2 linked regions of the Schizosaccharomyces pombe genome follow. The protein of the gene in region 2 interacts with the protein of the main gene of each other region in a pairwise test. Each region holds a gene or a part of one and is shown on either strand. Other genes may lie near its edges. The genes, in order: get3 and syp1.

What was found.
Region 1: the proteins of syp1 (region 2) and get3 interact in a two-hybrid assay, tested with the Schizosaccharomyces pombe proteins (2 studies listed by BioGRID, with this or other methods).

The regions. Positions count from the first base shown.
Region 1 is NC_003424.3:3,634,809-3,638,890, reverse strand, and holds get3 (GET complex ATPase subunit Get3), read right to left. Parts: upstream 1,882-4,082; 5' UTR 1,790-1,881; coding exon 800-1,789; 3' UTR 501-799; downstream 1-500. Other genes in the region: ESCRT III complex subunit Vps32, read left to right, coding at 1-120; Cu transporter complex subunit Ctr5, read right to left, coding at 2,605-3,126. UniProt on the Schizosaccharomyces pombe protein: ATPase required for the post-translational delivery of tail-anchored (TA) proteins to the endoplasmic reticulum. Recognizes and selectively binds the transmembrane domain of TA proteins in the cytosol.
Region 2 is NC_003423.3:3,123,181-3,128,446, forward strand, and holds syp1 (cytoskeletal protein Syp1), read right to left. Parts: upstream 3,542-5,266; 5' UTR 3,522-3,541; coding exon 3,480-3,521; intron 3,439-3,479; coding exon 1,024-3,438; 3' UTR 822-1,023; downstream 1-821. Other genes in the region: tif306 (translation initiation factor eIF3f), read right to left, coding at 1-626; DNA-directed RNA polymerase I complex large subunit Nuc1, read left to right, coding at 4,719-5,266. UniProt on the Schizosaccharomyces pombe protein: Multi-functional protein that contributes to the endocytic process, but also to events that occur at the neck during cytokinesis.

The sequences.
Region 1 (4,082 bases), on a different chromosome or scaffold from region 2:
CACACTCCTGCTGTTCCTGCTGTCCCGTCTCAAGTCAAAGACCTCCCTTCTATTTCAAAGCCTCAAGAATTGGATGAAGAAGAAGAACTTCGAAAACTACAGGCTGAATTCTCTCTTTAAAGTGACCAGTACGCTTGCTCGGTATTTTTATTATTTTCTCAATATGTTAAAGTCATCTTCTAAGGTTTCTGTTATAACTTATGGAATTATTTAATTTGTCAGTTGTTAGTATTCTATGTTTTCCTTGTTATGAGTCATCATGGAAGCCTAAATACAAATTTTATGTACAATACCATTATTAGACTATAACTTATAGGTCTCCGTCCTCATGTTCGGATGTGTGTTTTTTCATTGTATTTTAATAATTGGTGTAGTTAAATAATCTACGGAAAAACTAGCTGAAGAATTTTACATATTACGTCTTCTTCATTCTACTAAAACAACTGTATCAAATGACTGTTAGTTCAAGTTAACTTTTTAATGTTTTGAGTTATTCCAGACACGTTCATATCTTGTCAAATTGATTAATATTAATCTAAACAGTGTGCTCAGAATCCTGTTGTGTTTAATCATTAAACAGTGTATCAACCTAGCGCTTTTGGTTTATTTGCTTTGGCAAATAGTCAAGCTCAACTGAGGAAACGATAAGAATTCTTCAACAAAATAAAAGTAATGTAAAAACTTAGAAACAGCCATTCTAATATGCATATTCAAGCTGTCAATCAATTTGTTAAAAAATATACATTTAGAGGCTTTTGACACCCTTATTAACAGCAGTGGATAAGATTGAAAAAATACATTATTCTTTGCCAGAAGTAGGATAAACGTAAGGCTTGACCAACATCTCAGAGAAAGACTTCAAAGCTTCAGTACCGCGAACTTCAGCTGGAACTTGCGGTACTTTGACAACATGAAAGTCTTCATAGAGCTCTTCAATTTGCGCCAAATATTTTTGTTGCATTTTTCTTCTAGCCATACACTGGGGACAAGTGGTGTTGGGATCAAGCAAAAGTTGGTTAACAACGATGTTGTGAGTATCAATTTCATAACTAGTAAGTTCTTGAATCATTCTTTCAGTTTCATAAAGAGAAAGGAACTCGGAAATACATACACACACAAAAGTAGTAAGATCTGGATTCTTAAATTGCTTGTTAACTTCAGAAATATTAGCACGCATGCTTTCCATCTTTCCAAATAGATCTTGTTCATTGGCATTTACACCCATTATGCTACCCATTTGGTTAATCATAGGGCCAAATCTACTGGAGAGACCGCCAAGCTTGCCGAGAGCTTTTTCCAAAACAGTTGGAAAATTCAAAAATCTTAACGTATGTCCAGTAGGAGCGGTATCGAAAATGACACAATCAAATTCCATAGATTTGATCTGCTTAAGGATTTCAGCGAATGCCAATGCCTCGTCGATACCTGGTATTGTAAAAGCCAAATCCTGCATCATTCCAGATAAAGGATTATTGGGATTTTGTTGGTCAGCTTGCTCTGTCATTTCCTGAATGGATAAATTAGGATCGATCTCCATGGCACTCAGATTATCAAAACCAGGAACCTTACGAGCGTCTTTTCCAAATTTCGTGCCAAAGGCATCAGAAAGATTGTGAGCAGGATCCGTGGAGATAAGTAGAACAGAGGATCTAACTTTTGACATTTGAATGGCCAATGAACACGACGTAGTTGTTTTTCCTACACCGCCTTTTCCTCCTACAAAAATCCATTTTAAGGAAGTTTGCTCAAGAAGGTTTTCTAAGGTTCCAGGCAATGGGTCGAAGGACATTTTACTTTATTAGAGAATTTTTTTTTTTAATCTGAAGCTAGTCTTCTTATAGACTCTCGTTGACCAGATGCACGATGCGATATGCTGAGGATAGGTGTTACGACAGTTTGCAAGTGAAAATGAAGATCCTAAGTACGCGGCAGATCAGTTCCCAACGATCAGAGATAAAAATTTAATTAAAGACTTAATAATTGTACATTGCAACTACAATTAATAGTGTATAGCATGTTTTGTTCCTATTTTTGATACGCTAGCAATATAACAATTAAGTAAGTTTTTTATCAAGGATTCGTAAAGCCATGCTAGTAGAATGCTAAATACGGTATGCTGAAATTTCATAATTAAAAAAATTCCTTTAAATGGATTTTCTAATCGTATAATATGTTTTGGCCTGCTGAAGCTCGATTACCATATTCGTTATAAAGAAAAGAACTACATGGAATCATTCAACGTAAATCAAGGATCAGAGCTACAGATGTTTGTTGATGACTAAAGCACTCACAAGAAATCAAGGAACAACTTTGAATCATACTGAGCAGAGAATATACTATTTTGTACCATCATATAAATTTGCATCCATATCAACAACATATTTAGTAAACTACCAGTTTTTGCATACCGATAGAGGAGATATATTAAACTGAATTAAAGAAAAAGTTATTATTTCTAAGTCTGAATATAATCCCTGATAAGCAAACAAAGAAAAACATAAAACACACTATCGAAACCCAACACCAAACAAAAACAATCGTAAAAAGTATTAATAGTACATTAAAATCGGATCCTTATGAATACCCCTGTACAATTAAATATGACTATCTTGATTCGCAGCATCCAGTACCAGTGGATGGGGTTCCATAAGTATCACTCGCGAAAAGGAAAAATCCTATCCAAGCACCTACGAAACCGAACAAAATGGCATATCCGTTAAACGACATTACAATCAACATGAGGATGGTAGCGGACAAGTAAAACGATGAATACATGGCTGCTCGTATTAGTTGTTGCCAGACAGTAACATGCACAGTGGAACTTGGAAAGAAGATACGCAGAGGTCCACTTAAAGTTTTGCCATTAGAGTGAGCAACAATCCAGCGATCAAACATTCTTTGAACGAGGGACAAACCTTCAATAGCGACGGCGAAGAAAAAAATTCCAATAATACTACCGGCGAATTTGTTTCCAGTGTTGATATGCCAGGATTTAGCCAGGAAACACGAGTCATGTATATACCAATTCCATAGCATACTCATGCGACATGTCGCAGCACTCGAGTTACTGGAGCTACCCATACCCATGCCACTCATGCCACTCATACTCATCTTACTTAAGCTCATTTTGTTGCAAGAAGCGTTAGCCAAATATTGAGAAGTATCTTAGGTATCTGTCAATAAAGGATAAGAGCCGATAAAAAGAAAGAAAAGAAGACACTCAATGGAAAGCGTCTTAAACTAAAATAACAAGTATAACCGGAACAATGCGAAAACAAATGTCTTTTGTTGAAAGTAAGTTAATAACACTAGTTTTACCACCTTTAAGCGAAATATCTCTCTATGAGCTGGGCCTTTTTCGCAGACAGACAAAATGTATAATTTAGCAACTTCTTACTGCTACCTATACACTTGAATTAGAATGATCACTACAGGTTTTTTTCAAGTCCTGAATGTTCAATTAAGCTGAACGCTCAAATATCGCTTCAAAGTGAACGGGGGTAGGATTACCTTTTATAGCAGTTTAAAAGCATCATCTACTGATATGCGACTTTTTCTCCTTTGGGTAAAAACTACCAGCTATAATCGCTCAGCAAAATTCCCGCCAAATGGTGATTAAGGTATTGCGGCGGGTCGCGTTAATCGAAAAGAATATAAAAATAAAAAAAAAAAGCAAAATTAATTAATTAATTAAATCAAACATACAAAGGAATTTGGATGAATATGAATATGTAAATTTTAATCCCGGTGATGTTATCGTATACATTAAGAGTTACAAGAAACTCCAAAAAAAATAAACAAATGAGGTTTGCCTAAATTGATATTCAAATACGATTTTCGTACGTTGTAAATAGATATAAAAGTAAAGTAAGATTTGTATGAATACAATAACAATTAAGATTCTTCTTTTGATTAAAGCACTACAGGAGCATTTATACACTTAATTGGTTTAATTATTTGTAGAAGATAATTTATAAATAACCATGCAATGTCACATTAATTTAATTTAGCTGCTCCTTTTAAAATTTTTTTTTTAAAACGATTATGATTTTAAATTCTTTTTTTATTCTTGACATAATTGC
Region 2 (5,266 bases):
AGGCTAGCAAGTCTAGATGGGTCATTCTTAGGAGCAGCTACAGCTTTCAAACCAGAACGGACTGCCTCGTCATCACGAATGGTAAAAGGGGTAGGGACGAATGCACAGCTGTCAGCAAGGCGCTCTGTAATACCTACTGGTGAAGAAACGTAAGTCTTGATGGCAAGGGGACTGCTAACATCTGTGTTGACAGTAAGGTGAACACAGGGATGAGGATACGTTCCTAGTGGAGCAGTTCCGGGTTCAGCAGGAGAAGCATATAAATTTTGAATCAGTGCACTGAAAGCATCTAAATCAGGAGAAGTAGCATACCAACCAACGACAACTTCACGAGGGTTAGCCTTGAGGTGTAAATGGTACATCGCACGATGATATTCCATTTCAACTTCTACCTGCTCACTGCTCTCATTATGAGGAACTGCAAAACAACTTTTAATCTCAATTTCTCGGCCATCTTCAGAACGTGTTCCCAAAAGTGTACCGATAACACGTTGATTATTTTCACTTTTCCGGGTTGAATGGTCAAGGATAGAAAAAAGCACTGCTGGTTCAATGACAATGTTCAAAGGACTTGACCTGGAAGACGGTTTTGTGAGATGGAGTACGTGCTTAGTCCCCAAAGCCATTTTTTAAAATTTTCACGTTGTTGGCTACTCTCAGGTAGGTAGATCTGGTATTGTTCCCCAATCAATAATAATTTTACTGTACTAGTTTACAGTCTCATAGAATTCGTTAAATTGAAGACACTATTTTTCGCCTAACTTCTAAGGTTTACCATTTAAGAAAGTGTATTTTCAGTTGCGTTGAATAATCTAAAAAATCTCCTTAACAATGTCTCATTTGTACGTACAATAATGAGAAACTCTTTATTCAAAATTCTATAACTATTTACATTTGTACATTCTCTGGTTAAAAATCATTTATATATATATACAATGTTCAAAAAATTCGGTTAGCAAAAAAGTGTAAACATAAAACCCAAAAAAGCAGTTTGCTTTTTCTTGACTAATAATGAACAGTAATTTAACTCATATCAGCAAAAACAGAGCACTCACGAACATGAATACCATAGGAAGTAGGAACCTTCGTTTCTTCATAAGCACTTTCTAGCTGAGAACCTCCACTAGAAGAAGTAGTATCAAACATATCTGGTTTCAAAAACAATTTGGTGAGACCAGGGTTATTAGAGGAATCAACCATGCGAATACGGAACTCGATAACTGGCTTTCTAATAGCAGCACTAGGACTAATCGCAAACTTGGCTAAAATTTTAAATCCAGACGAAGATATATTAATGTTCGAAAGATGTAGCTTAAGTTTACTAGTTTTCCTGCTAAATTCTCCGGCCGGAGAACTTTGACAGCTTTTTACAAGGACATTTTCCCCCAAGTAAACGATGATAACAAGTTTTTCAATATGAAGAGATGAGCCTAAGTTCCTCCACACAGGATTAGGCTTCACAAATGCAATCATACTACTACTGCTTTCATCATGCTTCCATTTCTGAACAACTGTCAATGGAATGCAACTAGCACCGTTAATACTATCAAGATGTAGATTAAAATCAGTGACTTTGATTGGTGAGAGAAGTAGCTCTGGTATTAAAGAAAGTGTGTTTTCTGAGGGTCCATATTTTACTGCATGGTCATTTAAATGAGTAAAAGACATAGGAAATTCAGACGCAACGCGAACACCCATTTCAGGAGGAGGGGTATTAAAATCCGAGGTATATTTCATGAATATATGACCGGAACAGGAAGGATGAAGAAGGCCATCTTCAGATAATTCACCAGAATACTTTTCGACGATTGAAGCAGAAAGCCCGGAAGAATTTGGGAACTCAGGGTGCCATGTTGCAGTCGAGTCTGGTCCCGATTGTAATGATAAAGTAGACAAATTGGGCAAGCTACCGAGGTTTGATTCCATATAGTCAGACGATGCTGTAGCATAACGATCCATTGTCCCAGCACGACGGGTCCTTCTTGATATAGTGGGATTCTTTCGTAAAGTATTTGCTACCCTTTCAATTGCAGCATTGCTATCCTCGTTTTCAGTAGGCGCAGGGGAAGCCACCGCTGATGTGGGAGACGTTGTTGTTGATCGTGATTGCATGTTGTTAAAGTTCCCACCAAAATCATTGCCATGCATCATGATAGGATTCGAATGTGATGCATTCTCTCTATCGATCGATGAAGGGGTATTTCTTGAGGCTTCAGAGTGCACAGAATTGGGTTTATTAAAGGGGGAAGCCTTGGAGGAAATCTTAGGCGTAACCGTTTCTGCTTGAACATTAGGCTGCACAGGTAGCGGAGCCTCCAAAAAGGATGAGCGAACATTGTTTGCACGAATAGTGGCATCGTTGTCCTCGCCCTCGTCGGAAGTTTCATTAAAGTTTTGATAAGACGAAGCGTTATTATTAGTAGAGGGATGATCCCGAATTTGTGAAGAATGATTGGAATCATAATGTCTTCGTTCGATTGAACTATCATCTATATTCGATGGGTGTTCTTCAGCAGACGAAATACTCGAAGCTTTGGAGTTCTTATTAAAAAAAGCAGTTAATTTATTAGGGCGACCATTAGATTTATGCGAAGGCTTCTTATCCTTTTTAGGCATTATGGTTTTCCGACGAAACAACGTGGACATTTTGTTCTTCAATTTACCACCAGATTCATTTTCTCCATGACTCTTTTCCTCTTTAGATTTTCCATTGTTTATGTGAAAGCCCGATGACTTAGATGGTTTATTAGCAGATGCGGAAGACATAACTTTCGATGTGGAGTTCATGAATTGACGGATTTCACCTTCAATAGGTAGATCAGAATAAACTGCCATAGATTTAGAAAAAAATTCTTGCTGTTTAAGAGCCGTATCAGTTTCCAAACTTGCAATTGTCAGGTAAACTTGTTTCAATATAAGGAGGCGTTCCTCGTCAACAATTTGCAATTTTTCAAACGCTAAAGGAGCATCGGAATCCCAGGTTGCACGAGAAGCAGTGAGATCATTCTGACTCTTAGTATCCGCATCACGGCCTTTTTTTTTTAATCCCTTCAGACCAGGTACAGAAGACGATGCCATCTCCTCTGCAACTGTTGATAACCGCTCTGCTAAACGTCTAAGCGTAGCCGTTTGTGGTGAAGAAGTATAATAATCTATCAAAGGTTTATAAACTTGCGAAGCTATTTGTCCAATGATTTGACTGTGATATCTTGAAATTTCAAGGGTTTCTCCCTCGAGCTGTTTCCAAGCATAATTAAAAGCAAACGATGAATTGTTTTTTTCTTGCATGTTCATTGCAAGCTTATGTAATTGATCTGAGTATTGCCGTTCAATATCCATTCGCTCACGAATCCACTGCGAAAGCATGTCGTTGTCTAGGCGAACTTGCTCTAGGCGCTGTCGAAAGATCGACATGCTGTCGTTTGGAGAGTAGTTTGACTATTTGTTAATAAGAAGGAAATAGCTAAAATAAAGCTTACCAAAAACGCATCTACATACTCCGTTTTCGTCAATGATTCCATGGCGTGGTGGTGGTTAGTGTAGGGGGAATGCGACTCGATACATGACACTTTATTCCAAAATTGCAAAACAAATTGTTTATGGAGGATGATTAGTATTGCTATTAGATGGCTGTTATGAAGACATAAGAAAATATTTTTAATAAGGCAAAATTTTCATTTCTACATACATCAATATCGATGTTTCCGAAATATGCATAAATAAATTAATCGATTATTAACTAGTTAGCTGCTCAATACTATGGATTAGTCTCAAAAATATTTCAATTGAAAAGTGACCCAATATACCAACACATATTCGAACCGCTTAACGATTTCTCAAAAAACACAAGTTTTTGAATAAAAACATATAGGTAGTGAAATCTATTGAAACGTTCAATTTTTTTAAGCCTTCAACATACGCTAATTTCAAATCTGAGTTCTCACTACTATTATCGCACCTTTTTCTATTCTTTCGAAAACATACGTTTGAGCAGAGAAAAAGTCAGTAACAACTTCCATAGTATAAAAAAGAAGGAGATATGTTCAAAAATCAACAAAAAATATGAATAATTGTTCGTAAACCCATATTGTTACCATAGATGAATTTTACTAACTAGTGCTTATAAACGAAAGTTTTCTTTCGCTACTTAAGGTAAGTAAGCAGAAAACATTGAGAATGGCTTTAATTCAATTAAATTTAAAAATGAAGAGAGACCAAGATCAGAAATCCTAACACATGTTAGACTATTAAGGCACTTTATCTGAAGTGAAGTCTAATAAAATGTAAGCAACGAAAGTCAGTTGATTGATACCAACATTCCACTCGCATACAGTACGAATTCTCTAAATAACTCCAGTTTATTTTTATTACGACAATGAAACCATAATGCCATGGTTTAAGTGGTCAATATGTTAACCGTGTAACAATGAAAGTACATCGTAACGTGTTAGCATCAATAATCCGGTTTTTTCGGTTTGTTTATAAATTTACCGATGCGCTAAAATATCTAATTTGTAGTTTACCAAAAAATTTTACGTGTGTTATTGTATATAACGCGCTGTAAAATAAGTAATGAAGCTTCACAGCTATGCACATTGTAACGCATTTCACCGGACTTTAGCAAATTACAGTCTAAGGAAATTTTCTTTTCATACAGAACCAAATAGGTCTGTGGGCGGATTGCATGTGCCGGTTGTATACAAAAGCAAAATAGTACAATGAATATTGCACAGCCAGTCTCTTCGGAGATTAAAAGTGTGAAGTTTGGGATTTACGATGTTGACGATGTCGAAAAAATATCCGTCAAACAAATCGTAAATCCCGTTTTGCTTGACAATTTAAATCACCCTACTAACGGCGGATTATATGACCTTGCTTTGGGTCCATATCTAAAAAATTCTGTTTGCGCTACATGTCATTTGGATGAAAGATACTGCCCTGGTCATTTTGGTCATATAGTACTTCCTATTCCTGCATATCACCCTCTATTTTTTTCTCAAATGTACAATTTATTACGTTCAACTTGCTTGTACTGCCATCATTTCAAGCTTTCAAAAGTCAAGGTTCATCTTTTCTTTTGTAGACTCAAGTTGCTTGATTATGGTCTTTTAAATGAGTCAGAGATGGTGGAGAATGTCAGTCTTACTGAGGCAATCATAAAGAATTCTAACGGCACTCCACTTGAAGATGGAAGTGACAGCGAGGACAGTGGTCTTGGACACGATGATATTGCTAAAGATGCTGCAACACTTATGCGCATTCGCGA